Linked DNA regions of Drosophila melanogaster. The protein of the gene in region 2 interacts with the protein of the main gene of each other region in a pairwise test. Each region holds a gene or a part of one and is shown on either strand. Other genes may lie near its edges.

Region 1 (15,706 bases), on a different chromosome or scaffold from region 2:
AGCAGATAGTATTGTTTACCCACAATTGAAACAATCATAGAGACTTGAAATAGGTCGGAATTACCCGCACCTTCTCCACAGCAGTTCCTCTTCTTGTTTCCCCTCCTTCGACTCAATTGCAAAATCATTTACCTTGAGCGTTTGCCAAGAATCGGAAAATCAAAAAAGAGAAGACAAAAGGAAAAGTGCGCTGTAAACAAATGCAGTCGACGCGGCCGTCTGAATGTTTGCTAAGCATGTATTTATAGAGGTTGAGAATTCTCACCGGTTGTGCGAATTTTCGTTTTCTCGCTCTGGGATTTATGTAAGCTCCACTCCAGGTGCTAATTTATCTGGTCTGTCGTCGGCAATCTTTGCCTTTCTATTATCAACTATCGAGCTCACTGAAAATCCCAACAAAATCTATAGTCAAGCGGCAGTGCGCTTATCAACCACAAACTTTTCCCATTTTTTGTAGCTATGATTAATAACTCATTAGGTGTTATTTCTTTCGTTCTTTGTTTCCTTATTTTCCTTTGGCCCTTCATCTGCTCTTATTTTTATTAAAACATGAAAGGCTGTTCGGGAAATCGTATGGAATCAGGTTATTGACCTGAAAGATTCCTTTGTGAGAATATTACATTGTTTTATTTCTTTGTTGTAATTTAATCGGATATACAGAAATCACTTGAACTTTCCAGTTTTTAAATATAGCTATACTTATCTTACTAACTTCGTATTATTTTTCTTACTTAACATATTTTTCAATATTTTTTTTGCAGTTCTTAAATCGAACTGTTGCGCATGCAGTTCGGTGAACGTCACAGATGAACCCGCCAAAGAAGATGAACTACCGCGAAGATCTGCTTCGACCTCGGTGCTGGAGCTAAGCAGATCGCTTGGCACTTACCGAAGGTTTCAGCCACATGCCAACTATGGATACGACTACTCCGGCTATGGATTTAGGCATCTGCATACGAGCCGGACTTTGCTGGAGACGTCCAGCTCAAAGATCGACGCAACAGTCAAGAAGCTGAAAAACCAGCAGAAGGAGAAGGTGGAGGAGATCATGAAGGAGGTGGCCAATGGACAGGCCGCGGCAGTTCGTGCCAGCAGTGCCGCTACCGCCACGGCCTCCTCGGAGAAGGGTCAAAACGCTAGTGCGACCGCGGGCTCCACGTCGGCGACTGCCTCAACGACGTCTTTGGCCAAGACCGCAGACAAGTCGGTGGCCAAGCCAAAGAAACCACTCCGCACACGGATTTGGGATGAGCTGGTGCACTATTACCACGGCTTTAGGCTGCTCTTCATCGATGTGGCAATTTGCTCTAAGCTCCTTTGGCGAGTGCTCAACGGCAAGACGCTCACGCGGCGCGAGAACAAGCAGCTTCAGCGGACCACCTCTGACTTGTTCCGTCTGATCCCCTTTTCGGTGTTCATCATCGTGCCCTTCATGGAGCTGCTGCTGCCGTTGTTCATAAAATTCTTCCCCGGCATGCTGCCCTCCACGTTCCAGACTTCGACCGATCGACAGGAGAAGCTCCGGCAGTCACTTAGCGTTCGCCTGGAGGTGGCCAAGTTCTTGCAGCAGACCCTAGATCAGATGCCCGTCCAGCACAAGGAACACAGCAGCGAAGAGGCCAAGCAGTTCGAGGCCTTTTTCACTAAAATCCGGAATCCCACTGAACCAGTGAGCAACGATGAAATCATCAAATTCGCCAAGCGATTCGACGATGAGATCACCTTAGATTCACTGTCCCGGGAGCAATTGGCGGCTCTTTGTCGCGTCCTTGAACTGAACACAATTGGCACCACCACGCTGCTGCGGTTCCAGCTGCGTCTGAAGCTGAGATCTTTGGCCACCGATGACCGCGTTATTGCCCGCGAAGGAGTCGACTCCCTGGACCTTCTAGAGCTGCAACAGGCGTGCAAGGCACGTGGAATGCGGGCATATGGCCTAACGGAGGAGCGTCTTCGTTTTCAGCTTAAGGAGTGGATAGATCTCTCCCTGAACGAACAGGTACCGCCTACGCTGCTGCTCCTGTCAAGAACCATGCTTATTTCCGACGACAGCATCACCACCGATAAGCTCAAGGAGACGATTCGTGTGCTACCGGATGCAGTGGGTGCCCACACACGGCACGCTATCGGGGAGAGTGAGGGCAAGGTGGACAACAAGACGAAGATCGAAATCATCAAGGAGGAGGAGCGCAAGATTCGCGAAGAGCGCGAGGAAGAGCGGGAAGAGACCATCGCAAAACGATCGGCCATCAAGGAGGAGATTCCCGCTCCTTATGTATTTGCTGAGAAGTTGTCGGGTTCCCAGGATCTTCTGGATCACAAGGAACAGTCCTCGGTGTCCGAGACGGACAAGGGCATTTCCTCTACCGATGTACAGCTGCTGTCTGAGGCCCTAAAGACACTCTCATCTGATAAACAGCTCGTGGTGGAAAAGGAAACAATCAAGGAACTCAAGGAGGAATTGGCCGACTATAAGGAGGATGTGGAGGAGCTACGCGAGGTGCGACAGGTAGTCAAGGAGCCTGTGCGCGAAAGCCGGGCGGCCAAGTTGCTCTACAATCGGGTCAACAAGATGATTTCCCAACTCGATAATGTGCTTAACGACCTAGAGGCCAGGCAGCATCAAATCAAGCAGGCGGAATCCTCTGATTACGCGGCGTCCAGTCCCACTGTGGAACCACAGCAAATGGTGCACATTGACGAGCTGGTCGCCACCATCCGGCGAATGAAGGAGGCATCCGATGAAGAGCGATTCAAGGTTGTCGGGGATCTGCTGGTCAAACTCGACGCGGACAAAGACGGTGTGATTTCGGTGAACGAGATCACCAAGGCGGTGCAGAGCATCGACCGCGAGGCCACGAATATCGACAAGAAGCAGCTGGAGGAGTTTACCGAGCTACTTTCCAAGTTGGCGTCCCGGCGACGACACGAGGAGATCGTGCACATCGACGATTTAATGAATAACATCAAGGTGTTGAAGGAAACTAGCGATGAGGCACGACTTAAGCACATCGAAGCTGTACTGGAGAAATTTGATGCCGACAAGGATGGCGTGGTGACCGTCAACGATATTCGTAAGGTAATAAAATCATGTTCCTTAGGCTGAACATACACTCAATTGGTTTGGTGTTCCTTACAGGTGTTGGAATCCATTGGTCGTGATAACATCAAGCTGAGCGACAAGGCCATTGAGGAACTCATCAGTCTGCTTGACAAGGAGCAAGTACTGCAGGCAGAGCAGAAGATTGAGAAGGCCATTGCTAAGAGCATGAAAGAGGCTGAGAAACTGAAGTCTGAGGTGGACAAAGCGGATAAGGACTTGTCCAAGCTTGTTAATGATATTCACGATTCCGCCAAGGAGATTCAGGATATTGCCAACGAGATGCGTGATAAGGAGGAAACTGTGCCCGATAAAGCGAAGGAGCTAAAAGCAGAGGTAAGTCTTTGGTTTTGACATACAGTGGTCAGCGTTCTAACAGATCAGTTTATTTAGCCCGCATTCAAGGATACGGCCAAAACATTGAAGGACAACGCAAAGGACCTGGACGATTTAGCGAAGGACCCAAAGTCAGACCCCAAATCCCCGACAAAGGCTTCTACAGGGTCCGGTCCAGCCGGACTGTCAGGTGGAGGCCCCAGCAGTGGCAGTAGCGGTATTGCCACCGGATCAACGACGGAATCAGCGCTCCGAGAGGCGGCCGAGCGTCAAATGGAAAAGATCCTGCCCTCCACAGACATTGGTCTGCCCCCCACGATACAAACACCATCGCAACCACCGACGTCAAAAAAAGCAACGGCCACTGCGTCGACCCTGTCCACGACGATAACGGCCAAGAAACTGCTCTGACCAGTCAGACGGTCCAAGAAGGGAGATGCTGAGACAACTCTTAAGCGTGAACCTAAGCCGAAGTGATGTGTTGGAGTAGGGGCGGTGGCGGTGTTGCTCGTGTGTCCCATATTGTTCCGACTATGCAATGAATTAACTGTTACCATTTAACATAAACGTAGCAGGATGAGGAGAGTTTGCTATACTTAACGCGTGGCTGTAGTACGGTATCTTCTTTAAGTAAGGCACAAATCAGAAACTACTAGAAATACATAAGAATGTACACTTTACACATATATCTTGATTTCCAACGACCTAGTTTTACATAAAACCCATTCGAAGCAAGTTGTTTGTAGCTCCTTTTTATTTGGCCCAAATTTGCGAAGCGATTGTGATCATTAGGCGAAATGTTAATTTACGACTTATTCATCTATTAATACGTACGTATATCTATCAAGCAAGTTGATTCGCCCGACCGGTTTTCAGGTAATACCGAAAGGTGGCGAGACATTGGAGAATAATTAAAACCACGTGATAGATCTAAACAATAATGTGTGTGCTTGACTTAGCAAACTGAATTTGTAAAAGTGTTTCGCAATAAAAGTTAGTATAAAAACAAAAGACGAACTGTAATTACGGGAAAACGAGTCGGAAAGTGCCCTATTATCTGTGAACTCGCCTTGAATGCCGATGCACAAGTTCTAAACGGCTATATCACCAATTTCCTAGAAACTACTGCTGAATGGCCATTCGGGACTTTAAATGACTGACTCCGACCGAACAATTGCTTTTACGAACCGCATTGATTGCTCAGAATTATATTTTTGCATTGTTTATTTCCTCGAGGGCGGGATGGTGTTCCACAACCGCACCCAAAAACCCGGACTTGCCAACTGGCCAGCAGTGATTCGGAATCGACAACCGCAGAACCCAAACTTTTACGGCCAAGTTAGTTTTGTCCGATGGGGTGCGGGTGGGGGGGGGGGGGTGGGGGGGCACTGCATGTTCAGCATCATATCCTGGGCTATTGAAGTAATAAAAATTACCACAAAATGTTCCAAAATTCCATCTTTGCCTGCCCGCTGACCCATAAATTCCCATCATATTCAGCGAGGGCCAAGAAAGTGTGGTATTCGTAAAGCATTCGGCTCCCAGCTATGTTGGCCTCTTTTCGGCCAAATAAATTAAATATGGCCCTGCGTAGGATTAGTAACTTGTGTATGCCCCAGCATTAATCAATCCCAGTTTGTGCGTAAACATGCGAAACTTTCGACCAGCAGCGAAATCGAAAACAAATAGACGCAAAGCGCTGGAAAAGAATACAGCGGAAATTTATTTAAAGGTAAATAGAACCGACAAAACGCGAAACAAGCCAAATAATAATAAACTTCAGTTCCGCTGGGAGGGAACTGTTGTTTGCAATCAGGCAAGCCCGACCATCCAACCATCCAACCACCGAACAACCCAACAGCCCAACAACCAGGAACCGCAGACAGACCAGAGGATCCGAGGAGCCGGTGATCCGGAGGGGTCGGTCGCTGGTCGGAATATGCTGGATGGGCAGGACGGGAAAGTTGGCAGAGCGTCTTGGTCGGCGAAAGTTTGCGCAGCTCAAAGTGCTTCGGATGCAACAATGAAACTCGAAATCTGCCATGAATGGTCTGAAGTGCAGACAATCAGCGACAGAGGACAGAGGACACAGGACAAGCGAACCGGGTGAACTTAAAGCATTGCGCCATGGAACGAAGTTAGTAAGTTTTAGAGCCAACGCTCGGAGAATGCTCATTCCAGTGGCGGGTTGGCGGAAAAATTGCAAAATTATTTGAAGAAATGTTACAAAACAATTAAAAAGTTGCCGACTTTCATGAGTCAATCAAAAGAGAGGCAGCCGCAACGAGTTCCGCTGCGAGAAGTTGCCCAACTTTGGCCCACTTTGAATGTCAGACAACAAGCATACGCCCCGTTGTACGTCATGCGAGCGGCAGACTAATGCAATTGTCCTTGCTGGATTTCATTTTCCGTCCAACTTGAAAACTGCTGCACTTTCGAAAGCGCCAAAACAACAAAGGTCGGCCTGTCGGAAAGTGGCGCTGTCAGTGGAGCTCTTTGCTCTTGGCTCTTGGCATCTGCTCCACACATAGCCCGGGATGAGCTCGTCGAGGCGCACACCAGATGCGTTTGCCGGATGGATTGCATGCAACCATATTTGATAGAGTTATTTCGCCTTGCCAGGTTTGGACATTCTTTCATTTAATAAAGTTTTAATATCGCCCTTGGGCCAAATCAAGCCCAACTGAATTATTCTGATCTAAACTGGCTGGCCCTTCCCTTTTACGTTTTATTAGTTTTTGCAGGAACGCCGAATATTCAGTTGGGATATAACTAAAAACTTTATTGTAAATTTTTTTTTATTTATATTGAAAAGCAAGAGGTACGCATTCTAATCCGAATATTTTAGAGGCCTCTGTGGATAGAAGCATTTCATTGAAATTGGGCAGGACAGGACGAAATGCTGTTCTAATCTCGCCTGGGCACGCGCTTCTGCAGGAGATCTGACTCGCGGTGGAACCACCCATATCGCCAGCTGGTGGCCTCCGGATAGTTGTACTTGTCGTCTGGGCTGCGTTCGTACCGCCGCTCCAGGTAGGTGGTCCTCTGGCCACTCTGCAGCAGTTGCAGCTCAGCCGCCGGCACGGCCTTCATGGGATCCACCGCGCTCTTGCCAAATCCGGTCTGCTCCAACTGGGACAGATGGTACAGGAAGGCCGCGTGCTCGGAGGAGCGGCGAGTGCGGCTGGTCACAGTATAACAGCTCCGCACGGGAATGCAAAAGTGCTGGGTCCTACTGGAGGCAGTGTTCCTAGTGGCTCCAGAGCCTGGCGTTGATCCTGGCCTGGGAGTAGCACCCACACTGGACTTTATCACCAGTTGTGACCTAGCACTCGCTAGTCCTGCACTTTGATTTTGAGTTGATTTCGTTTTCGGTTTCGATTCCGATTTCTGCGCTGTCTTCTCGGGAATTGTATGATCTGATAGATTAGAAGAAGCTGGAGAAGTCTTGGCCACATTGTGGGGCTTCTCCGTGTGCAACGCGGAAATAGATGGCCTTATATTTCTTGAATTAACTGAAGCTAGTCGCTGCATAACTTTACTTTAAAATTTGGACGCTAATTGTTTATTGTGTTTATTGTGGGATATAAGCTTGTGTTGTACACCAAAGACACATTTTTTGACTTTGATGGAAAAGGGATAGACCGGCTGACAGGGCAACAACTTTCGGCCTTTTACTTTTGTGGTCGGAAACCTCTTAAATGTTTTCATGGCGAATTTTAAGTTTATTTTATCTGCTGAACCGCAGAAAAAAGTACCGTATCAAATGTAACTAATATTTCCGAATGGCCAGCGTGAGTTTGTGCTGAAGCACGTTCTATAAATGCCAGCTTTAATTCCCAATAAATGGTAATCTGCAACTGGATTTTCGGTTCCCTCGTAACCCGAATTTGTGTTTATTTTCAATTTGTGTGGTGGTGGTGAGAACATATAAGGTGGATTATACACAGATAAGAGCGCTCCACAGACACATCTCTCGCGCGCTTCCGTGTATTTTTAGCCCGGCCCAAAAGGAAGCGTGTCCCACACGGTGGCCATAAAAATATCTCAGATATGTCGCCACACTGTGAAATGTTTATATGCATGGGGTCGTGTGTCGTGGTGCAGTTGCAGCAGGAAACTCCATAAGCCCAAAGAAATCGACAGGTCGTTCCCTTCCACTCCCTTCCATTCCCATCCCTCCCTCCTGCGACGCCCAGGATATATGTGGTGGAGCATTGATTTGGAGCCGTTCCAATTGGCTTGTTTATTTCCGAGTCACTCCCACCTGCTCATTCGAAGGGTTCGTTAAAGGTGTTTTGGTAGTTTTTCGGGACTTGGCTTTGTTTGTGCACCTCCTTGCCACCTGAACTTGCCTCCAGGAATCCAGGAATCCAGGAAGACTGCATAAATTAGCCGCACGTTGGGTTTTGTTTCCGGTCCCAGCTTTGCTATCTGTGGGCATCGCAATATATCACCGAAACTCGATACTTTCGCTGCGATTGCGAGTTCTATGTGACGTTTGATACAGTATCGCAGATCGATTCCGCCCAATGCGATATGATAGATGGGCGTGGTGTCAGTGCAATCCCCTCGGAACTGAAAAATTGAACGACTTGCAACTTTAATAAGACGAAAGTGCGCGACAGCTGAAGCACTCGCTCCTTCCTCCAGCTCGCTGACCATTAGTGGAAACCCACTCCACTCCACTTGACTCTCTTCCATTTCCATTTTCCTTCGCGTGCTGCATTTTTCTCGATTTCCCATCAATACCTTTCCCTGCCCTCCTTAATTCGCGCGGCATTTGTCGCCATTTGGCTTTCAGTAAGTCGGCAAATGCGGAAAGGCGGGAAATCGGGGGCCGCTCCGCTGACTGATGGAGCTGCAGTTGCACTTTGCTGCAATTGGTTGCACTTTATTCGCGGTTGCGTGGGAGGAACTCGGAACTCGAAACTCGCAACTTGGAAATGGAATTGCAATTGGCGGCGGGCGGGCTTAAACTTCTAAATTGCATTATTGCCAGTCCTAAACCAACCCACGTAATTCGCAGCACGGCAACATCTCGTTTGTAATTAAACGGAGCGCTGTGGATAAGCGATTGCCCCTCAAGTAATATGAGCTCTTCGGAATGCTCTGCACTTTGAGCTCCATCCGGAGGATAACCGGAAACCATAGGATAAAACTTACCGAAGACCACTCAATTAAGATTTGGTTGCCTTATAATTTGGCGAATCTTTAAAATTTCGGCGGAATCTTCTTTGGCTGCCGAGAAGATGAGGATATTATCGCAGGCTGGAGCAAACGACCTGATATCCGAGACCTGAGTGGCGGATGCCGTGCACCAGGCCAAAGTTCGTTGACGCAAAATGGCACTTTGGGGCCAGGCACTCACAACATCTACATTTCCATAAGCAGAAGCAGCAGGGGATGAGCAGCAGCAGCAGGTCGCGCATGATTCCCTGGAAGGACTATGTCAACAATGGCGTGTGCATTGCTAGGTTTATTAAAAAGGGCTCAGGTGAATGCCTGAGCACCCCGCTCAAAACACCCCGCGCTGTGTTTACTTAGTTGAGACACACGCAACGCTACATATACGTAATATAGAGATATGTACAGACGCAGCCGTGGGAACCAGGAGCCTCTAGTTTTCCGACTCGGAAGCAGTCTGCCGGCAATGGTCAAAGGTCATTTGCATTTTGCCATCGTCAGCTTGTCCTGGCCAACCAAACAAATACAAACGTTCGACGTCTGTGGGGGAGGGGCGATGGATACAAATACAAGCTGATTAAATGGCCGAGATTGAAGGGGAGGCAGAAACATATACAAAGACCTCGGCAGCTCCCAAAGCCAGTTTAAAGCCATTGAAGTACCTTTTCTAATAAAAATGCTCCTTAACAGAGGGATATTTAATAAATGGAATTTTTGTCTCTACCTAATTTTATATCAATATTTCACCATTAAATGGATAAGATAGGAAAATAATAAAGACGGAAATAAACTGTAGAAGGAATTCGTCTGGAACAGTAATGAAAATCATATATTTTGTATATTTACACAATGATTAATTGTCAACTTGCTGAAATATGCTTTTTTCGCATGCCACATGCCACAGGCGTTCGAGGTCTGCCAACATTTTCACCATGTAAACACATTACCACCGACCCATTCCATCTCGATCGCATTCCCATTCCCAGTTCCACTCCCAATCCCAATCCCTATCCCAATGCCAATCCCGTCGTGTTCAAATCGCTCGTCATTAATTTCCACACATCGGAGTGGTGGGAGCTCGAGAACAATGAAAGCACTTGAAACTGTGCTCCAAACCTTGTTTATCCGCAACAGCGTCCTTAACTTTTATTGGGTCTTTAGTTTGGACGGCGACGGGGGTTTAAGTGGGTTTTGGGGTTTCGGTGCTGAGTCCTGGCTGCTGCTGGGTTAGAGGCAAGAAAAACAACAATCAACACCATTTGACGCTACAAATTAAGCTGGGAGCAAACAAATCGTGGCAAGTTCCCTCGGCTTTGCCCGCCAAACTTCTTGCTGTTTTTAGCACATGTTGTTGCCTGCTTTTATGTGGCTGTCTCGTCTGCTTTCCCGCTTTTCCGCCTTTCCGCTTATGGCTCGACTCAATCCCATCCCAGCCCCCGAAAAGGAAACCCACTCCACTACTCGATTGTCTCAGGGGCAATTCTCCCTTCGATTGGCAATGCTCACTATTTATGGGGCAAAAGTGCTTAATCAAGTGCCAAGCGGCAGGGGCACGCTCCGAAAACACGGCGTATACTTAATTTACGCACATTGCCTGGGGCCAAAACATTCCTGAGTGCTAATGAAGCCATGGTCTTAGCATCGAAAATTCTTATTTAATTAACAAGTTGAACAAGAGCTTAACTGTTAATGGGGGACTTTGCACATTATAAGTGTGTATTTAGTTATTGAAAAAAAAAAAAATGAAATTAGTTCGCTCTATCGTAAAAACAAAGAGATATTCCTGTTTTCATTGTTGAAAGACAGAATGGTGGCCAAGCGATATACCTACATATATATACCTCTATAACCATAAATCTCGAAAATATTTAACTATTCAAGTGACGAATTCGTGTTCTGTATTCAAATGGGTCCTGAAGTTTTCCGCGCTTGAATCGTTAACTCGTAACTTTGGAAAACACGGATTGTGAATGCTTTCGCGCTTGGCGCCGGCTAATGCATTTTGATTGTCAATTTTGATAAATGGCCTTATTAATTCATTTAGCGCTTGGCCCGCGGCGAGGGTAATAAAATTTTAAACAAAACGCGTGGCCATCAATGCATAAAACATATTTCCGAACTGCGAACCTTTGCATGGGCGACAACGTGTGTAAATTGGTAAAATAATTGCATTTTTGTGATTCTATTTGCTGGTCGTTTGTTTGCAGTTCTGCCTAATTTATTTATTCGGCAGCGGCACTTTTGGCAACGTTTGTTTTTGGGAATTGGCTATATTCGGCTGGAACGTGCCTAATCCTGGTGAGTATGCGCTACACCTAAAGGACCTCTTTTGTCCCCACTCCTCCTCCGCGGGCGCACGGCTGTCATAAAATGTTAAATATAAATTTATGCCAACCTGCGCGCTGCCGGCATACTAAGCACCGCATCAGGACGCAGGACTCCGTGCTCCGCGCTCCGTATAGTCGCAAAAGGACGACTCTCCGGCGGAGTCCTTCACCGGTTGGCCAGGCACATTAGCAAAATGAAGCTGTTTCGATTACGATTACATTCGCCAGAGATTTGCGCTTTTGTTGCACTTTGCGATTTTGTTGTCAGCATTTCAGGCGGGGAGCAGATGCCAAGGACACAGGACCTCCTCAAGTAGGGTCTTGCTGGAAAATCGTACTGGGGGATAAGGTAGGCCGACAAATTGAAATATTCGCAAAATGCGGCTGAAACAGTTTTAATGTAATTGCCCCAATTTGTTGTGACAACGATAATCCGATTAACACGATAATTGTTAATTCGCCTATGGATTCGATTATGTAGATTTGCCTTTGTAGCGGATTACCTCATTATTAAAAAAATGATTTAATTGCATAACAGTTTGAGAGGACACTAATAGAAAACATAAAATATAAATAAAAGCTAGTAAAAAGTACATTTTATGATAAACGAATTGAAGAAAAAATGCAATTAAAACAATATGTCTTCAAAAGGGGTAATTATGTTTTCATAAAATTGATTAAAAGTGGATTTCCAGTACGCACCTAGCAGGCGTTTAGAAGTAGCACAGATACTAAAATTTCGATCTTATACACAAAGTACACTCCATAGTATTTCAAATAAGTAGCCCCACTTCAATGGCTCAGCGATACGATCGCGCGGTGACCATTTACTCACCCGACGGTCACCTGCTGCAGGTGGAGTACGCCCAGGAGGCCGTCCGAAGGGGTTCCACTGTGGTAAGTCCTACCTGGAGGCCACCCGCACTTGCCTATTAGTTAATCCTCCAAATACTAACCAAAGATGGGTCTGCGCACCAACAACGCCATTGTAATCGGCGTGGAGAAGCGCTCCGTGGGCGACTTGCAGGAGGAGCGCATGGTGCGCAAGATTTGCATGCTCGACGACCACGTGGTGATGACTTTTTCGGGTCTCACCGCGGACGCACGGATCCTGGTAAGCCGCGCCCAAATGGAGGCCCAGAGCCATCGTCTGAATTTCGAGAAGCCCACGACCGTGGAGTACATAACCCGGTGAGGAAGAGCACTGCCTACACAGGGAAAAGTATGCAGTGAATGAGCTGAGTTGCAAACCACAAAATACTCATGCATACTTTTTCCTGCCCTTTCGAAAAAGTTAAGAACTGTTCTCTCAGTGCATCCCCCTAGGCAAATTTGGATTTACCTTTTATGTCCTTTCCGCTTCCCATGCAGATACATAGCCCAGCTGAAACAGAACTACACGCAGAGCAATGGGAGGCGTCCATTTGGATTGTCCTGTCTGGTTGGGGGCTTCGACGAGGATGGCACTCCGCACCTGTTCCAAACGGATCCCTCGGGCATCTTCTACGAGTGGAGGGCCAACACCACCGGCCGCTCAAGCCAGCCGGTCCGCGATTACATGGAGAAGCACGCGGACGAGATTCTGACCATCGCCGACGAGGCAGCGGCCATCAAGCACATAGTCCGCACCCTGGTCAGCGTGTCCTCGCTCAACCACACCCAAATGGAGGTGGCTGTGCTCAAGTACCGCCAGCCACTGCGTATGATTGATCACCAGGTCCTGGCCGATCTGGAGCGAACCGTTCGCAGGGAAATTGAAGACGAGGCCGAGGCCAGTCGGCGGCCCCGTGCTCCCTAGTTTTGGCCGGCCACCCTGATCCATTCTGTTCGCCATGGCCCCTGGCCATTTTCATGACCAATCAAAAGTTGATAACCGGTCGTGCTCTCTTTTTCTGGGCAATTCAATTTCGGCCGGGGAGTTGGAGAAAAGTAATCAGCAGGAAAAATGTGTAAAGCGGGCAAATCACTTAATTTGTCTCCAGGGCGTATTTGTTTACTTTATATCCCTCTCCGGCGTAGACGCGTACGCTCCTTTCAGGCCAACCAAGTTAAAAAGTTTTAAGTGAAAATGCGAATTGAATTTGTAGAGGAAAAATAAGAAAGTGCGCGCACACATGCAGAAAATGTTTGTCAATCGAGATGGTTTCTCTTGATTGGGTTAATAAATTCCTAGATGCCAAGGAATGCTCCTTGATCCTGATGTAAAGAACATTGTTTTCTGAAGGCATCTTTACATTAAAGCAGGTCTTTTCCCATTGCAGAAGTACTGTCGATTTTTTCGCCGTGAGTTCCATTTGCGATTTCCTGCTCCACCTACACTGGGCTCCCCAGGCTGTCATATTGGCCGTTCAAAGTTGAGTCCCACTCATTTCCTGAAATCAAGTGCTTCAACCGAAAGTGGGTTTCATGGGTTAAGGTGTATGCTGTTATAAGGGTATGACCTGCCTGAAGGGTTCATCAGGGCAGCATCAATGATGTCAATAGTGGAGCACCGCACCCTTCGTTTCCCCTTGAGCAACTGGAGCATCAGGACTACGTTCTGGTCATTACAGACGTGTTTTGCGGCCTAGGCTTCCAAGAAAGCCAGGCTTCTGGCTAGCCTTGCCGATTTGACGAGTTTGAGGTCTTTGTGAAGGGCATCGAGTCCTCGGGCGATAAAGGGTTTGGAACACTGCTGCCCTGTCGCAGCCCTGACATTTGAATTGTTGTCACTGAGCTGTCTGTCATTATGAAATAGTAGGTCTCGTCATTTTGCACTGTACTTTTTCATTATATTTTATTCGAGTGAGCATGTCGTGTCCGTAAGTAACTAGGTTTTTCCTATAAAAATCATAGCAAATTACACCAAAATCTTTTAGCAGGAGCATCGAGATACCAGATGGCAGTTGGATCGATTGGTTCCTGGGAATCAAGGGCCACGAATTCTCCTGCCGGGTGCCCAATGAATACATCCAGGACAAGTTCAATCTGACGGGCCTGGAGTTCGATAGCCAGACACTGGAGGTAGTCTTAGATCCGGAGTTCGACAACGAGGACTGGGACTGCGCCGAAGAGAAGAAGCTGTATGGCATGATCCATGCACGGTACATCGTTTCGCCGCGTGGCATTGAAGATATGCGATTAAAGTACGAAAGGGGGGACTTCGGATCGTGTCCGAGAGTCTTTTGTAAGAGGCAGAAAGTCCTGCCAGTGGGCCTTCACGACGTGTGGGACAAGGCCCAAGTTAAGATCTATTGCCCTAGCTGTAACAACGTCTACATCCCGCTACCCCACAATGGAATGCTGGACGGAGCCATGTTCGGGACCAGCTTCCCGCATATGTTCTTTATGCAGCTGCCAAGCTTGATACCCTCTCCGCCCGTGGAGAAGTACATCCCCCGGTGAGTAATTCTTCGAATATAATCCTTGTTCTTTTCTACACAAAGCACTTGCACTTCCAGTATCTATGGCTTCCAGTTGCACAAGAAGGCCCTGATGCCGCCCGAATCAGCAGAGTCCCCGCCAATAAAGGTCGAATCCTCGGTCAGCAAGTCGCCCTCCTGGCTAAGGAATGTCCCGAATTTTTAACTCCACACGAACAAAGCACACAAATGTTGGTTTGGTCTGTTGTTGCAATTAAACAGTTTCCCCAATGCGTTGATATGGCCAGCGACCACTAACACATGGGTGCACTCTCTCTGCCCTAAACACTTCACACCATTCGGTCCACGCTGGCCATATCAAGCAGTCATTCGAAAAGCAAAGCGTACTTGCCGTTAATAGTGGTAATCACCTGGGAGTTCGGAAGTGAAGCAGCTTTAAGCGGCCTATTCATCCGCTTAGTGTTGTCAGACACTGCGAGAAAATGGTTGGAAAGTTCTGTTGCACGGTCTAAATATAATTAGGATCCTCTACTACTCGAGAATTGGCATCAAGTGCACAAGGATTAAGGATCTACACTCCAAACGTTGAGTTAGATTATATTTCATCCCTGTGTGCGTGCTCCTTAAGTTCGCTGGACTTCGCAATAAAAATCCACTTGGCGGCACAACCTGCTAAGCCGATAATGGGAATTACGTTGAGCCGAGGCGTGGGCAGGGATTCGTGAATTTGCAGGAGGAGCCGCGTCCTGTTACTGTTCCTGTTCCCGATCCTTTGCCGCTGGCATCTCCAATAAGTCATGCCTTTATTATTATTTACTGCCGCCCTGGCGCTTTCATTTTCAGTTTTCCACGCCACTCGACGCCTTTTTCCTTCGAGTGGAGAAGAGCGCCTTTTCCGCTTTTCTCCATGGCGCCACCACCCTGTTTCTCGCACTTTTCACACTTAATTTCATTAAGTAATCATTCATACTGCAGCTTTTATTGAGTTTTAAACTGGCGGACCGTATAATGAGAATGTCTGGTGGGTGGAAAACGCGGGAAAATGAAAAAGCGCAGGATGCGAGCGTTTTGTTTTACATTACAATCGAGATGGCAATGTGGCTGGACTCGGATTCCTTTTCTCTGGCGGGACCTTGTGGATTCTTTGCCACCTGTTGTCCGCATCCGCCATTACTTATTCATAGTAATTTCTAGAGACCCCATCGAAATACAGAAAGACAGCTCGCCGTCTCATTTTCCACGTATTTATCCAATTTCAGACGGAACACGTCGGTCCGCGTGGGCAAACAAATCCGATTGCTGTTCTTGTAAACAAAGTGTCTGCACCCGATTGGAAACTCTGTTCCTGGTGCAGCTGTGTTTCCATTCTTCCGCCAGTGTGTTTTCAAGAATGG
Region 2 (17,659 bases):
TTTTGGAAATGTTGATCTGCTGTATGGAAGGGTGCGAATTCAATAATTCGATTTCCAATGATGAGCATGTTAGGTGCTGGTTGTGTGACGAATATGCTCACGCGAAGTGCGCGGGCATAACTGATAGTGTAGTGGAAATGATTGAAGGAAGAACTGGACTCAAATGGACCTGTGAAACCTGCAGAGTTGTCAAATCTCAGATGGGAAGATTTATGAAGCAAACGCGTACGGAAATAACTGAACTCTTTAGGGAAGTTCGAGCCGTCTATGAAAAGTTGGCGAAGCTAGAATCGCATATTACGTCTCGTAAGATCCAGATCTTAACTATCCGATTATTTAATCGACTAATTTATCTTTTTTATTATTTAATAGTAGATCCTCAAAAACCGATTTACCCTGTGGACAGTGATTCAAGTTCTAATCCATTACACACTTTTGAAGATACTAATGATGACAAAGAAGTTGAAGATGCAGAGTCATCTATTGTTCAACACAATTCTACGAATATGCAAAAAGCGAAAATATGGCATCATAATGCGGCTCCCGTGGTACTACCTCTACATACCAATCCGGTTATTCTTAAAGCTGTACCTCCAATGAAAGCTGTGTTCGTATCCAGACTCGTAACCTCAACTACTGAAGATGCCCTCAAACACTACATAGTGGCCAAACTCTCTTATCCCAATCCCGATGACATCATCGTCAGAAAAATATATAATAAGCAAAGACGAAAAATTGCATCGTTTAAAGTGATGGCACCGGATCCTATATATTATACGATTTTAAATCCTGGATTTTGGCCTAAACATATCATTGTGCACGAGTTTGTCAACAAAAGCCTTCTTCAAACCAATGTAGAATTTATAAAATATTGTTAATATTTCCATATGAAATTTCAGTGAAATATTAAGAAAGTAACACATTTCTAGAATAGGAACTGTGCAAGCATTATCAGTAATTATTAATATAACACTGTTCTAATCACATTTAATCACTCATTTTTTTGCCAATATTTAGGGTATCAATTGCTCTGTAGATACAGAAACACTTATACAATTTGATATCACTCGAGTATAAGAATTCGGTTCACAGAAGTTTCACTTTTATGGTTTCACAATAAAATAGCTATAAACGAAATGTTTGATATTTGGAGTGCTAGTCGTTCGACCGCCACTGTGAATAGTCTTAGACATCTCATACTCGACTCGAATAATAAAAGTAAAATGCTATGGGATTTGTCGCCAGGGATACTCACTCCGGGATGGAATTGACTATATACTCTGCGCTGGCGGGGATAAGGATGATGGGGGAATCTTGAAGTGGGACTTGACCGGAAACTGAACGCTGCAGTCTCAAGAGTGGATGTTGTACTTGATCGCCCTGCCGTTTGTCTCAGGCGTGACAATGCATAGTTTCTCCCGCCCGTCGGGTGGGTTCGCTTCCTGGCAAGCAACTGAGCCGCCGGACTGCCGCTCAGCCAGGTGCGCAGTACTGGTGAGATAACGGGATGCGTGGGTGGCTGGGCGTCGAGTGATGGGCGTGGCACGCACTCACCTGGGGATCCAATTTCGGTCCTTTCGGTGCTTGACTCTTGGGTAAATCGTTAGCTCTGTTTCGAATTTGATTTTCGTGAAGTATAAATCAGAGCATTCGCGTGTCGTCTAATCAAATCGCCACTTTGGCAGCCGCCGATATCAACTGGCCCCGTTTCTATCCCCTGGCTAACATATAGATGTACATATATGTATGTGCATATACATGACGCACGGAGCGGCCTCAGATACGGAGACTCGATAGGGAGATATACAATGGAGGGTCCCGAGCCACTGGCGATAAGTCGGGGCAATTACGTTTGTGCGACCATACCTGATAGCTACTCTAGATCTTGATATTCGCGCTTTCTGCTTCGCGGTGTTATACGATCCGCTCATATTGAGTATTGCCTGATAGCTACTATTGCGTCATTGTCTTAATGATACAATCTATCTATATGCCATAGACACAAAATGTGCTCATGGCTTAGATAAGGTCTGTGGCCCAACCGAAAGTAACCGAATTAAATATTTAGCTAAAGCCAAAAATATCTACAACATGAAAACGCACAAGTCGCCTGACTCTTTCACCGAGAATTTAAGTCTTTTGGTGTAATCCCAAATCAGGCGAAATCTGCGAGTGAATGTTTTTGCACACTTTACCTAAGCCATAAATCGCTTTCCACAAGAAAGAGCCTTCTGAGTGTTGGTGATTTCATTGCCAGGCAGATAAGGTTTGCCATAGTTTGTGAGATATCCTTTGTGGGGGCTTTGTTTCACGGACTAGATTTGTCAGGCTTCCGTGACAAAGGTATTTAGATTCGTTATGCTAACAAGAGAACGTCTGATACGTTTCGGTGTTCAGTGCTCACTGTTCACGGTTAGATATTCGAGTCCTGGGACGTAAAATGACATGTTTAATACGGGACCGAGTGGGAACAGTTGGCGTTGTCAGCATATTTTAGACCGTAAACCCCCCGGTTATTGGCGACATTTTGATATTGTCCTTGTTGCTGTAGCTGCGACGTTATAACAACAAGTTTGATGACGGTCGTTATGCGAATCGTCGATTTGAAATGCCTTCTTGTCACAGAACTTGTGTGTTGAGTGTGGTGCGGTGTGGTGTGTGTGTGTGGGTGTGAGTGTGAGGGTCCTTATCTGCTGTAGATGTGTGAGTGAGTGGATGTGCAGATGTGTATCATTGTGTGTTGACAGTTCAACGGACACGCCCCGCCGCCCTTCATTTTCACGCCTGTTGTGTTGTTGTCAGAGCGTAAACTGTTTATTATTTAACAATATCCTTTTTTTATATCTCTTTCTGTGAGGATGTGCGCGGCTGTGTGAGTTTCGAGCATTCTTATTTATTTATAACTGTGTTTCACACTTCTGCAAAGGTACGCTCACAAATCCGAGAATAAATCTCCGGATTAAGATTTAAATAGTCGCACGTTTAGCGAATTTATCATGTTTGACTTTTTAAGCACCGCTTAATGGCACATTTAACTATATCATTTATCATTTAAAATGGGTCTGCATTAAAAGTTTTTGGTTACTTGACAATTAAACTAATTTATTTAATGGCTAACTAATATTGCAGAAGAATTGATAAAAATGTAGTATAATCAGCATTCTAGTTCCACTTCTTTGGATTTCGTTTAATAATACTTTTATAAGTGTATATCCTTTGATCATTCCCTGAGTGTCTGAACGAAAGTGCTTGGGCGTGAGTGGGCGTGTGCTTGCCACTTGACTGCGGAACGGACGCAACAAGGCGCCAATTCTCGAATCAGCGGAAACAGGCTTTTAGGCTGCGTGCCTGAAAGTAGGCTACACATTCCAATCTCGGAGCTCACTTTACGTGTGTGTGGGAGCTGCACTAGTGTGCGGCGGATAGATGCCTGCTGGTCTGTCAATTATGCACTTCCATATCTGCCTTTAAGGACTCACATCACTGGTCAATGGCAATCAGGCAGCGCAATCAAGGCCAGCATCGCATATCAAAGCATCAGCATCGCGGGCTGGCATTGACATTGATTTGATTTCAAATCACATCAACCTTAAATGTCAGCATGCCACAGAGGATGTGGATGCCATTTGCCATTCATATTGCGCTATGTACTGCCACCAACGTTTATGTGCATTAGAAATACACGCAGAAAAGGTCATTAGAGGATTTCCTCCTCTCTACCACTGGAGAAAACAACTCGAGGACGTTGGTACACACATTAGTCACGTCTTGCTCTGAGTAATAGTATTTTCTTATAGGGCTTCCATGAGTCCGGAACAACCATGAAGTCATCTGGCTGAAAGTAAATGCCAGTTGTATTTCACAATAGCGAGTCTCAGACAAAAACTCGATCATAAATTATAATTAACAATGCTCTAAAAACAAGCCCCATTAAGTTGGAAGATATATGGGATGCACAAGTAAACTGTTTGCACTACTTTCCATAGCTTCTATAGTTTTCTTTACTGCTTCTCAAAATTAGAATAATTCTCCGTGCGATAAGCTCGCTTTAAATGAATAATCGCGGTATTCGGTGGCAGTGTCAAATCGAGTCAAGTCGAGTTTTCGGGCAGGATATTATCACTTGCTGGCCATGATTTACAGACTGAAGCGAAAGCAGATGGAGTTGGGAAGTGGCAAATGGGGAAAGCAGCTGCGTGCCGTATAAATATATGCGTGTGTATGTCGCAGCGCTCCTATTGATTTTTTAGCTCCACCCCAAACCAGTTTTCACTCGAATGCGGAGGAATCGAGGCCCTGACATGCCAAAGTTGGTTTAGATAGCGTTGTTAAAGTTGTTCGCCATTGCCATATCAAGTGGGTGGGTGGTTAGCTCAAACTATTTCCTACCCAACATTGGCTTCCGCAGGGGTTGTCCCAACCTCAATCTCCCTCCTTTCGGAAAAACTTTAACTGAAACAAGAATGCCAGTTGTGTTCGCCAAAGTGTTGCGACTGGACTCGACAATTTGCCGTGTGTCAGCAGCAGGTTCGTCAGATCCGCGATGATGATGATACCTGATGGATGGTTTACCAGTTGACCAGATGTTACCCCGGGCGGGAAAAAAGTAGCAAGCAGTCGGTGCATCAATCAATCTTCCAGTGCTAGTAAATGCTGACGCAGATAGCTTGATTAAGTCGTGGCAATCAGCAAAGCAAACATTTTGCCAAGGGATTTTAGTTCTTCGTTTATTTTGTTTACCCCAATGATTCAATGCTGATTTGCTGGACGGACCGTTGATCCTCATAGCCGATAAGCACTGTACAGCATTGCCATTGTCATTTAATTTGTGTGCTTGCTTGGGCATGGAAAAGGCAACGATGGTGCAGGCTGCCTTCAAATCGCTGGGAAAAGTCACATTATCCCATTCCCATAATCATCATCATCACCGACGCCGTTATCATCGTAGTAATCATGTGGCAAGCTTTCCGGCCGGAGCAACAGTTTCGGCCCACAAACAAATTGTTATGCTCCGCCTTGGAAATCCATTAGGGAGCCGACAAACAGAGCCAAAATGGCGCCCCCTAGCTAACTACGTACATGCCATACTGAGCAAAATCAATTTGGTAAGCTCAATTTAACTTAAATAGTTCATACTTCCAGAAATGCCGGGATAGTTAAGAACACCGGGTTTAAACCGCATTTTAAAATGGGTTTAAAATATTTAGTTCGTTGACTTTTGGCCGGAGGTCTTATAATCTATAAGCAGACAAGAAATTTAAATTTATGTTCTTTAAACAAAAATTCACAAAATAAATTTTCCTAGTGTGTCTGTGTAGTTTTGGCCCAATTCTAGTAAAGTGAGAGGGCACAACGATGGAATGGGTGAGACGCCAAGATAGGGTCCTCAGTGAATGGAGAAAATTGAAATGGAAATTAAGTTCGAACGAGGGCAGATGAAGATTCCTCTGGCGTGTGTGTTATCCGACATGTATCAGTGTGGAGAGAAGCCCCCCACACTTTTAAATTATTTACCTTAACGCACCTGATTATGCCCTTTGCTGGCTGGGCCCTCGATGAATATTTCAAACACGCGTCACATCGACCTAATTGAAACCAGAGTGCGAGCTCCAGTTAATGTGACAAGGATTAAGTGCTACCCAATGCGAAGAGTTAATTGAAAGCGTTTCAATTTCATTTCTTCGCCATTTATTTCGACAACCGAATCCACACACACACACACACATGTAGATATTTCTGTGTCTGTTGAGCGGAAAATTATCATTTCCTTGGCCTTTGTTCGCTCAGTCAATGGAACTCGACCATTTGAATGGGCGGAGAGAAGTGAAATGAAAGGTTTTCACTTTGGTTTCCGTGCTGACACAATGCCGACATTTCGATGTGTACGTGCTGTGAGTGTGTTTGTTAGCTTGCTGTATGTCTTCTGTATGTGTGTGTCTGACTCAGTGTGTGTGAACTTAGGTGCGTGACAACGGTAATTTAGATATCCCAATATCCTGTTCTTTTCGCGCGTCTTTTGTTTCGCCACAAAAGCTGACTTAAGGCTCGCCTGTCAGCGCCTTGTCCGCCATTTTTGTGATTCTGTCTCCATTTTCGCGTCCCTTTTTCAGATGTTTTTCCTTTATTTATGGCCCTCGCCTTTTCCTCTTTCCTTTTGATTTTTGTCATCTTTATGGAATTTTTATCTCTTTTAATTTATACATATTCTCCGGCTCCGCCATCATCGCCATCGCAATTTAATTGCCGTTCCCGAGAAACTGAGCAATCGAGTCCTTTGCGTTTCCTTTTTTCCACCAAACTCTGCTTGCATTTTATGCTCGACTTGGCTGGCTTAGAAGTAAGCCCTATTTCAGCATTTCTCTACGTTCTTTATGCCTCGCTGGCCATAATCAAATTGCCTGCAGATCTGCCCATCTGGACGGCTTACTGGGCGTATGCGCAATTTGATGCCCACATACACGGTAAATCTAACAGGAAAATATGTAAAGCGAAGCTGGGTGAATTTTTTTTTATTTATGCCTCGTAGCTGGAGATTTGTTACTGTCAGGACGTATGTATGATTAACTCTGCTGCAACGGAATCCTGCATAAACTCTACACTCGAAAGTATGCTTTTTGGGGCTCTATTTTTTCCGGAAGCACGGCAGCTGCTAAAGCTGCTGATTCTGCGCCATTGTGCGAAATGTTGGCTTCCAGTTGCCGTGGCCACAGCAACTGTAACTTTATTTCACCATTGTTGTTCAATTGGGTGAGGGGCTGGAACTTTCTGCTGGTTTCATGAATCAAACATGACCGAATCTTGTTACATATTTGCAGTTTTCTTCGTCGAGTTTCTTTTGTGTACACATGTGCGCGGTTTATTTTTTTGTTAGTTAGAAAAGTTGGTCGCCCCACACACCGAAAATGGAAAAAAGTAGAATTTTTCGCCACTGTTTGCGGCTGCTACGTATGCAAGGCCTAAGCTTTTGAGTGCCTGCCACTTTTCTCTAAGCCTTTAAAGCGCTGAATTTTCATCTGAGAGCTGTACTGCGGTTTGGCTGTGTGGTCTGTTGCTTTTAATTGACGGAGCCATAAATTAAATGAATTTTCCAAAATCTTGTTTCATCTGGATTTTCTGCATTTCGCTGAATATGCTGCATACTCAATTTTAAATTACCCGAGGTATTCCTCTTATCAGAATCAGAAAATCGAGCATTTTGAGTGCTTCGAGTCATGCTGATGTTGGGTACTTGATTAAGCTAGCTAGTTAATGGCTGCCATTTAGTTTGATTAGATATAAAGCCCCAAACTGAGTTCCATTGTAACTTGTGTCCAATTGACAAATACTTATGGGACGACCTTCCTTCATTCATTGGTCAGTGAAAAGGAGCCCCTTAACCGAGTGAATGAATAAATGGCTATTTATTTGTACAAAGGGAAACAAAGTGAACTCTAAACTGAAATGGTAAGCAAATGTCAGGCAAGTGAAGCGAATGAAAGCTTGAATGATATTGACAAAGGCAAATGCTACCACCCATCGTCCTATGAATGAAAAAAGAACTCAAGGGGCTGGCCGACTTGGGCAGGAGTCGCGGGTTTTTTGCTTTTCAATTGTTTACTAGTCTCCGTGTTGATTGTTTTCTTTGGTTCCTTTCTATGGATACCCTATCAGATGGCATGATACTTTAGGCACTGTCTACAGTATAAGCGAAAAATTTCATCTAAGCGGGACAGTAAAATATACTTCATATAAATAATCATTTGTGGTTTAATGCTCTGAAATCTGAAATCATAAGCCTAACGTTTTCTGGCGAAGTTCTTTACTTTTTCTTGGGAGTCTTAATATACTTTATATGTTCATATGGGAGACGTGCCTTTTGGAATGTTAACATTATATCCCTTACTGACATTCGTTTCTTACAGCGTGTAAGAATCAAAGCTAGGATGCCATACAGCTTTATTTATAGTTAGTTATATCCTCTACAGTAAATACATTTCCGGATCACAAGCCGAGTCGATCATGATCAAGAAAATATGTAACGCCCAGAATTTGAAAAATGATCCAAAAAAAGTCCATTGCAGTTATGGTATGTGATAGTCGAGAAAGCCCAAAAACCAGCTGTCCACAAGGGAACTTAAAACTCGAACTTATGCCGATGTCAACTGGATTCCCCATTTGCTTTTCTTTTCTTCTGCGGTGCTGCTCGTCTCTTGATACTCACAAAAGACTCAATTAGGCGTTAGACAAAGACGGTGGACATAGCCATATGCTGCTTGGCCCAGAAGTTGTCGCTAATTCGCAGACAAAGGGCGAACGAGGGGCCAGTGGGCTTAATCGATAGAAAAACGAAAATGGGAAAACAAACTGACAATTGTCACGGACTGCCCCCGTCCGTTGTCAAGGTAAGACCGCCCGCACTATTCATACTCACATACACGGGGCGTATGCGTAATGCCTTAGCCATACCGCACGGCACTTCACATGTGGCGTATGATTAAGTCGTGCTTGGGTAGAATGCGCCTAAAACGAATACATTACCGGCAATCGGAGATGGAGGCGCCAGTGTGGCGAGCTGCAGGATCCGCTGCCGATGCTGCTGACACAATTTTCGCCGCTGCAGAGCTGCAACTGCAGAATGGCCGCACACAGATGCACCAGATATAGATACAGATACACAGATACAGATGCACGAAGCTGACGCCGAATTTGCGAATTTCGAGCTTGACACGAACACCCGGAGGCTGTTGAACCGCACCGCTCTGAACTCTTTTGGCTAGTTTTGTAGGTTTATGCCGTTTTCGTGCACATCCTTTCCTTTTCTTGCAGCTTCCTTTACAGTTGCATTTTTTGCAGCGGCTGCTGCAGTCCGCGTTGCCAAAAGTGAAAAGAGGCGGCCGGCACGGCGGTCGGTGGTCAATGGTCAATGGTCAGAAAACAGGTTCAAAAGTCGGCGACCGCAGGCGCAGGTCCTGTGTGTGTGTGTTACGAACGGGTGTGTGTGTTTGTACCGCACAACTTTCCCAAAAGTATGCAAAGATATTTAGCCTAGTTTCGACTCTCCGACAGCATCGTTGTTGATTTTTTGCTGCACTTTCTTGGCATTTTCTTTCAATTCATTTTTGCTCTCAAATTAATTTTGAAAATTTATTTATGGAAGATCATTTCACTAGCTTTAAACACTGTTTTTGTTTTTATTGTTGACTGAAGCACAACAAACACATCAACAAATACCTACATATATTTCTGTATATATGTGTATCTGTGTATGTTTCGCTGTGTAGTAAAAATAGTAAAACGCTCGGCACTTAAAATAGGAGAAGCGCAGCGAAAAACCGTTTGCCGCTGTTCTCTTCTATTGTTGTTGTTATTGTTTTGGTTGCTTCTTTCGTTGTCGTTGTTGTTGTATTTACCGCTGCTGCGTGTGGAAATCACGGAGAAAACGTTACACGCTCAAACGCCGGATAATGAAAGACTAACCTGCGAGCCAGTAACCGACTGCCACATTGGCCGACTGCCTCTTTAAAAATGCCGATTGTCGCGACACGAAGGGCACCCGAAATGCACACGAAGAGTGAGAGTGGCGAGTGCGAGGGCGGTGAAAGCGGGACAGATAAGGAAGAAAGTGCACAGGATAAGGAACAGAGTGGCAGTGGAACACTGGCCAGGCGATAACAACTGCGCCGCTCTCTCTCGCTGTCGCTCTCCGATGTTCCCCATCTTCCTCTCGTTGCAGTGGCGCATTTCGCAGGGGGTGTAAAGGTTTGGCGGGGAGGGTGGTGTAGAGGCATTGCTGGTTAGTATAGCCCACACCCACACCCCCTCCTCTACCACCCGCTGTCTTAGACAAGCAAGCGCATAAGTTTTTGACGCCCCTGTTAAGTCGGTTGGAAACAAGTTGCTGTACTCTATGCTTGGAAAATAGTCTATTAACAATAAGCACCGTTAGGGAAAGTGATTACTAGCAGATCGGGGTGCAAAAAAATATAAATTTTCAACACCCAATAAAGGTTCACGTGGCCAAATCTTTTATTTCTGAAAATTGTATTGTTTTATAATTTCTTAAGCTTAAAATATGATATTATTCACGCGTTGAAGTACAGTATTGATCTCAACATATACATTTTATTTAAATATATATATTTATTTATATTCAAAACCAAATTTGAGAAGTACATCGCCAATTCCAACTCAAATTGGCTAGAAAGCTTTTGATCGCATTGAAGTCAGCTTTTAAAAATAACTTAATTGGTATGTGTTTTACCGGATAAATGGCTTTCCCCTGTATAATTTTGATTTAGTTGATTGCGCCTTTTTACTTGGCTCTCTATGCAGCATCACGCCTACGAACTTTTTCAAGTCACTTATGCATTTTATTTTAATACCTATACATATTTTAATACCGCGCCATAAAAACTTCACTTAAAAAGTTAAATAATAATATTTTGTAGTTTTTTTTTTCTAATTATAAATCAGTTTTCCTAATTTAAAGTAATCTTCTTCTCTTCTATTATTATAATTCATGTATTAAATCAAAGCTAAAGCAGCAAATTAAGGCAATCGAATTAAGCAATGAATTAACATTTTAGTACTCCCCATCTACGGTTGTGTAATATGCCTCTCTAAATAATCGTAGGGTATCACCGGGGCTTTAAAGGTGGAATTCCTTACGAATGTTCTTTTGACTATGGCGACTGCGTTAGAATTTGGGGACCTGGATGGCTCGGCGGTTCGGCTGCTGACGGGCCCAGAACTGCGAACCGAATGGCGAGCTGTGCGAGGCGTCGTAAAAATAAATAAGCAAAACGGAAATTAATAAGACCCAAATGTTGCCGCTGTCGCAACGACCTCCCCATGTTGCCCCTGAGAGACCTGCCGCGACAATAGCGTTAGCCTTATGGCCATATAAACGCAGCAATGGAAACAGCAGCAGCGAAAGCAGCAAAAGTAGCGAAAGAGAAGCAAACGCTGCACGCCATTGCTGTAAGTACAGTACAGTACAGGAACATGTGTGCCAGTGTGTGCGCTCACAACCTTTTGCTACCTTGTATTTGGCGTCCATTTTTTTTCGTCCGCTTTCTGTTTGTTTTCGTTACGGATCCCAACTCATTCGGCAGGGGTGAACACGGGGCGTATGAGCAATATATTTATGTTTATAGCCTCGTTTCCAGTTGGTGTGTAGGCATAAAACTGTCGCGATTTTTATTTCGGATGTGTATGATTATTTGGCACGACAACTCAATTCAATGAATGAATAATAGCAATCATGAAATCATAGGACATTTACGAAATAAAATGACAGATCACAAATCTAAGCACTTTTTACAAATTACGTTTCTTTGCATTTGCAATCAACTTAAGTCTCATTTTACGTTTTTTTTTTAAACCCCACTTCCACATGTTTTTGCAAATAAAAGATTTTGATTTGTTTTTTAAGTTTTATTTATGTAGTTTTTTATTTTAATCATTGTTTAAATCTACAAATACATTTACAGCGGAGGGCGAAAGAACAAAAAATTAAAAATGTTTACTCATTGTTTTGTTGTTACATGCAAGTTTTTACTTCTGCGTGTTGTTGACAAATTTGTTGTGGTTTTTGTTTTGTTTCAAGTTCTTGCTTTGACCATCGAACGTTTATATAATTCTGCATTTGTTTATAAATATTTGTAGTCCATATTATGAGTTATTTATATTTTGTTTTTGTCCTCGTTTGGTTTTTGCTTTGCTTCGTTTTAGTTTAGTATCATATCTCTTTCACATCAGCATCCATCGATCAATATTATTAATTACTCAATATAATTTGTTAACAACTAATAATAATAATTTTGTTTAGTTTTCATTTTCTTTCATAACTAACATGCCATAATTATCGTTATCCCCAATGCTAATGATCATCTTCACTAAGTTAGAAAACAAGACAGTTGGCTAAAAGAAAACAGCAGCGAATTAAACTCGAATGTCTGGGCGTATCTCTCTGCGTGGGTGTGATCTTATCGGTCTAGCCGAGCTTATTGAACATCCTATAATCGCTATCTGATCCATTTTTCACAATTCACAACTTGAAATTCTCAATTAGCCAGCCCGAGCCGCTTTTTCAGACCCACTCATTTGATAACGACAATGCCAAGCTTTTTAATTCGTTGAACTTCAATGTAATGACCAACAATTTGACCGCTCAACCGTTCATGTTGTGTTTGTTCTTTGTATTTGTTTTTCTTTTTGTTTTTGTTTTGGGGCGTGTGTGGGCAGGGAAAGCGATAAAAAACAATCAAAGAAAAGGTAAACAGAATACTGCCTTGGGCTTGCCCCATTTTGGGGCGCTGTGCCGTGTAAAACTTACAAACATTTATTTTGTGGGCGCTTTTTCCTTTTGTTTTCTTTTGTTTCGTATTGAATTTGGTTTTTAGTTTTATTTGGTTTTATCTTTTCCTTCTGGGCCTAGGTATCGGTAATGGTATCTGTATCTGAATCTCGATATCGACATCGGGGGACTTAATCCCACCGAATCTCGGCATCGGTTCTTTTGGGCTTAAATGCACACAAAGCATAATATTGCATGTCAATTGGTTTAAGGGGGTTTATTATTAAACATTTAGTTGGTTTTTTCATTAGATTTTAACAAATTCTAGACCGGCAGGTCTCCAAACATTGCTCGGAGACCTTTATCCGGAACTCGGCGTAGTGCCAAGTGCAGATCGGTCGATTTCGTTATGGTTTCAATTTTGGTTTTTGGTGTATTGTTGTATAGCTCCATTTATATAATCAAATTTTTTCCATATAATATATGTGTGTATATATATAAACAATTATATTCGTCGTGTTCACATTTCTTGTGGTTTTTCTTCTGTTTATATATATATTTCGTTCTTCTGCGCTAAGCTGCGTTTACACACACAAGTTTCAAGTTTTGCAAATTAATTTCTGTTCTTTTGTTTTGGTTGTTGTTGTTGTGGTTTTTATTGGGCTTTACTTTTCACGGCTTACTTGGTAACTACGCTAGGGGTTTTCATTGTTTTCTTTCCTCATTTTACTTTTTATTTACTTCGTTTTATAATTTCTCTAAACTTCTTATATACTTTGTCTCGTCATGCGTTGTGTATCGGTGTGTGTGTGTGTGTATTTGTGAGTGTGTTTGTGAGTGCGTGTGTGTGTGTTAGCTTTCTGGGATCTTGTTATTGTGGCGATAAAAATCGCCTCATCCAGTTCTCGTTACGTTAATAATTTTACTAAAAACATGTTCTTGTTACTGTTTTGCTTAGTTACTGGTTGATTTTGTTGTTGTTCTTGTCTGGATGTGATTGGTGTTTCATCGAAATTGTTGTTCGTTTTTGTTGTTTGTTTTATTTTCATTTATACTTTATTTAAATCTTATTTTTAGCTTTAATTTATAATTTAAATTTACTTAACGTTTAAAATAATTATCGCTTGCATTTTTGTTTATCCTCGTTTACTTTAAATAATTAAATTAAAAAAATAAAATATATTGTAATATGTTCTTGCTGTAGCTTGTTGTAGACGTAGCTGTTGCTGTTGTTGTTGCCGTTGCTGCTGCTGTTGCTATTACTGTGGTTGTGTTGCTTTTGTGGGTTTTGTGGTTCATAAACATTTCTATTTGTTGCTCTCCATGGTTTGTAGGTGTTGTTTGCGGGTGTTCCTGGTTGCTCTTGTTGTGGTGTGCATTCGTGTGTGGGCATGTGGCTGTGTGTGTGGGAGTGTAGCAGTGTGGGTGTTTAATAGTAGGTCTCCTGCTCCAACCAGCCTCCGGGGTTGCGGCGCAAGTAGAAACGACGGGTCTCGTCATAGATGAAGATGGCCAGCGCAAATGGAATAGCCGGGAACCACCAGACGAGTCTATAGTATTCGTAAGGAAGGTTATTTACAAGGTTAATTAATGATATATTCTAATTTTAAAGGACCACTTACTTCAGGGGGTACATGCGCAGACCCTTCTCCATGCCCGGGCAGTATGAGAGGAACGCGGCCAGCACGGTTTCAAAGACGAGGCCAAAGTTCAAAGCCCAGTTGCGCATGCCCTGCTGGAAGATCGAGTTACGACGCGTCTTGCAGATGATCAGATCGGCCCATTGCACAACCACGATCGAGATGAAGAAGGCCGTGTGGCAGGTATACTCCAAGGTCTTGCGGTCGCGGTAGGTCTATGGGAGTATAGGATAAATTAATTAGAATGGCTCCAATTGTGGTTAGTTTTGGTCACTAGTATCTAACTCATCCTTGGCTGTTTACATTATCGTTAAAGTACGAATTCAGAGTTAATATGAAGTGTGTTTAAGATCGAATTGGAGTTTGGACTTACCCATTCTTGACCGTAGGAATCAGTTAGATCGTTAACAGCCTTTGAGTCCCACATCTTACGAATGCCAAACAGTTTCTTGGGCAAGAAGCCGTTCTCAGCCATGATGACGAAGTACACAAAGAAGCCGGCGGCGGCCTGGATCATGCCGATCTGTCCGTAGGCCATCGAAATCAACCTGGGTTAGTTAAATGGGCGGGACCAAGTCGGAAGTTGGGAGAAAGAAGCAGATCTCGTTAGGTAACTCTCAAAGGCAGGCAAGACTTTTTCTTTTGTGTGGGTTTTGGTTTTGTTTTTCAGGACGCAAGACACTTCTCGTTACAGTTTGGCTAGCGGTAAAGTTTCGGGCATCGGACTGAAGAAAACAGGAACATGCGCGGCTTGGCTAGGATTTTTGTTTATCGTAAGATAGGTCGTTCGGGGTACTCAAGAAATGATCAACGAATGCTTGAAATAAAGCCATAAACGTTGGCACACAGAAAAATAGAACGGAAGAATAACACTCAAAGCAAACACAAAACACTTAAGGAGGAAATCAAACAAAAACCCTGCCCAAGGACCGCAAATGTCCGTTCAGTCCTCGATCCGAGTAGCAAATCGTACTCGGGGTTAGTCAATTAGATTGGTGTTAGTGCCACTTTACCTTGAAGCTCTTTTATGGATTGTTTAAGCAAATGGATGTTTATCGTTTAGATTTAGTGGTATTAAGACATTACTCTATGTAGCGTGGAAAGTGTCTGGGCAAATCTCGTTTTAATTTCAAGAGCGCGTTAAAGCAAATCGTACAGTCTACACTCGATAGAAAGCGTGATGGCGCAGAATTGTTTGAATTTCATTGTATTGTTTGGCTTTCATACATTTCGCATTGGATGTGGATGTGAAAAGCAAAGTTATTGTTAGTGCTAGTTGAACATGCGGTCTAAATACAGGACATACATATCGGAACATGCAGGACATTTAAGCGTGCCACTATTACTACGACAGGCGAGTGCAGCTCTACATCCTTTCGTTTACTTACGTTCAAGGAAGTTTCGATCGAAATCACATAAAACATAAAACAATAACTCAATCATAAACTTACACGTTAACACAAACTTAAGAGTAATAAATACGTAAAAGTATTACACACAAGGAACTCATAACAAATCATTATCCGTTGCCATTGTTGTGAGATTCTCAAGTATTACCTATGTTTATCAGGACACCCTCCCTCACATTCAGACTTACCACGACTTGGAAACTTGGAACCAGATTTCGGAACGAGTCTAGGTATGTATATATTTGGTATATAACAATCATATGGTGTATCTAGAACACAACTGAAGCGATTTTCGTTTTGTAGTTGGCTCGAACAAACTCATCTACAAGTAACGTACTAACTGATCTAAGAGTAACGGCAGAAGCTTCGTTTTTTGTGGGTTTTGTGTTTTTATGATTGTTGGGTTCAGTCTTTTGCTTGTCTAAGGGCTTGTGGAAATAGATCCACCTTATATTCGATTGTTTGTTGTATGGGTCGTGTACTTTGTTTTTGTTTATTGTTTATGCAGGTGAGCGTTTGAGCGAGCGAGCGTTTTTCTTTGAACTAACTTCGCCAAATTTTTTAGAAGCAGCTGTTGGGCTTTTTTCATAGTGGCACTACAGTTTGCAAAACACACTTTTAGATTCAATACGAATGTTGTTCCTCAATAGTTTGAACATACACAATAAGTGTGTGTAAGGATTGAAGTTTGTTGTGCGAGTAACACACCACAAATGTAACACTTAGATTTAGGGATTTAAGTGAGGGATACATAAAAGGAGTTATTCCATAAGAAATCAAGTAAAGTAGGTTTAAAATCAAAACGAAATCTTTAGAGATTGGTACATTTTAGAAATTTTTTGATTTTAGAATATTTAAAAGATATTTTCATTCCACATTGAGAGTTTCAGAAAGCAACTTATAAGTAGGTTACATAGAAATTGGAACAAAAGAAAACTATGTAAAACACAAAACTGTGGAATAAATGTATTTTTGTACGTTCATAAGTGTGGAATTAAAATTGAAACAAGGAAAAACGCATGAACGCATCAGCAAACGAACAAACAGTCGCAAAAGTTTCTGGGTGAAATTTGGAATTTATCATTCGATTGATTGCATTTTAGTCTGATTGATGATCGGTTGATCTACTTGTTCGGTCAAATTATGATGCAAGAAACGCGACCACAGAACATCAAACAAAGTTCAAAGTTGGTAACGTAAATAATGATGGTTGCATGTTTGTTCATTTTCTATTCCATAACTAATCAACTAAAAGACGGTTAACACTTGGATATTGGAGTTTGGTTTTTGGTTTTTTTTTTTTTTATAAGACCTTAGCGTTTAGTTTTCCTGACCTGCGGTTCACCAAGTTGTCGCGATACGGATCTCTCGGCTGACGCTTCATAATATCGCTCTCGGCTTGCTCGTAAGCGAGTGAAATGGCCGGAATCTTGCGGTATATGGCAATTAATGGTTATTGATTGTTCGGTTATCGGTATTTGTGCAAGTTGCAATTGTTAGTTGGTTGTTTGATAATCAAAAGAAAGACATAACAAGAGTCGAAAGAATGTAGGGAAATACAAAGGAAAATCTGGTTAAAGTTTACAAATATATATAAAATATTTGTTTAAAAGTTTTATATAAATATGCTTGCGAGTAATAAATACTTGTTCTTTATACGCTAATTAATAATCGCTAGTAGATCGTAAGAGATAGATAGAGATCTGAGGGGAGGCCGGGAGTCTGTGTCAAGTAGTACCATCATGGGGTATTTTTTGTTGCATGTTAAGGTGTTTTTCATTTTTTTTTTTTTTGTTAGCTCCCACGTACTTACGAAGCTAAAACTAATCTAGGGCAAAAAGAGCATAGAGCACCCAGTAATAGTAAAATCGATATATAGTAAGTAGTAGGTAATAGTAAATGCACAGATATAGGGTGTACAAGAATGGATTAGAGCTTAAATTGCGCTAAATCATTATATATGTATTATTATTACTAGAGGACAATTTCAGTCTGGATTTCAGATTGAGTTCGGGGGAGATTTGTGTGAGTGTCGTTCAACTACAACTCAAAACGAGACGTTTCAATGAATGACTGACTGAGAGTTGGTAGAGAAAAATACAGGGCATTGATTGATAGAATGTGCTGAATGATTCGAATTGACCTTAGTAAGTGGAGATTCGTGAATGAATTGATGTCGAGACAAAAGATTCGTCTACCGTATCATGAGTGTAGCATCAGTAGAAACGTACATATGTCATAGATTATACAGACTCACTAAATTAACAATAGGCCTGCTCTAGCATAGGGCTAAGAACTAAGTAAAAGATCTGTATTGACATGGTAACAAATTA

What was found.
Region 1: the proteins of Calx (region 2) and CG13581 interact in a two-hybrid assay, tested with the Drosophila melanogaster proteins (one large-scale study listed by BioGRID).

The regions. Positions count from the first base shown.
Region 1 is NT_033778.4:24,498,227-24,513,932, reverse strand, and holds CG13581 (uncharacterized protein), read right to left. Parts: upstream 7,064-15,706; 5' UTR 6,971-7,063; coding exon 6,344-6,970; 3' UTR 6,227-6,343; downstream 1-6,226. Other genes in the region: Letm1 (leucine zipper and EF-hand containing transmembrane protein 1), read left to right, coding at 762-3,079, 3,140-3,436, 3,494-3,847; Prosalpha4T2 (proteasome alpha4 subunit, Testis-specific 2), read left to right, coding at 11,746-11,847, 11,912-12,141, 12,322-12,748; Ssl (suppressor of Stellate-like), read left to right, coding at 13,741-13,751, 13,809-14,330, 14,391-14,517.
Region 2 is NT_033777.3:20,969,979-20,987,637, reverse strand, and holds the start of Calx (Na/Ca-exchange protein), read right to left. Parts: upstream 9,456-17,659; 5' UTR 8,518-9,455; intron 1,660-8,517; exon of another isoform or gene 1,555-1,659; intron 1,492-1,554; exon of another isoform or gene 1,256-1,491; intron 1,135-1,255; exon of another isoform or gene 879-1,134; coding exon of another isoform or gene 373-878; intron 307-372; coding exon of another isoform or gene 9-306; exon of another isoform or gene 1-8. Other genes in the region: CG43446 (uncharacterized protein), read left to right, coding at 9-306, 373-878; Atpalpha (Na pump alpha subunit), read right to left, coding at 13,707-13,827, 13,900-14,132, 14,291-14,465. UniProt on the Drosophila melanogaster protein: Na(+)/Ca(2+) antiporter that couples the energy of a Na(+) electrochemical gradient to the movement of Ca(2+) against an electrochemical gradient across a membrane, which contributes to the regulation of cytoplasmic Ca(2+) levels.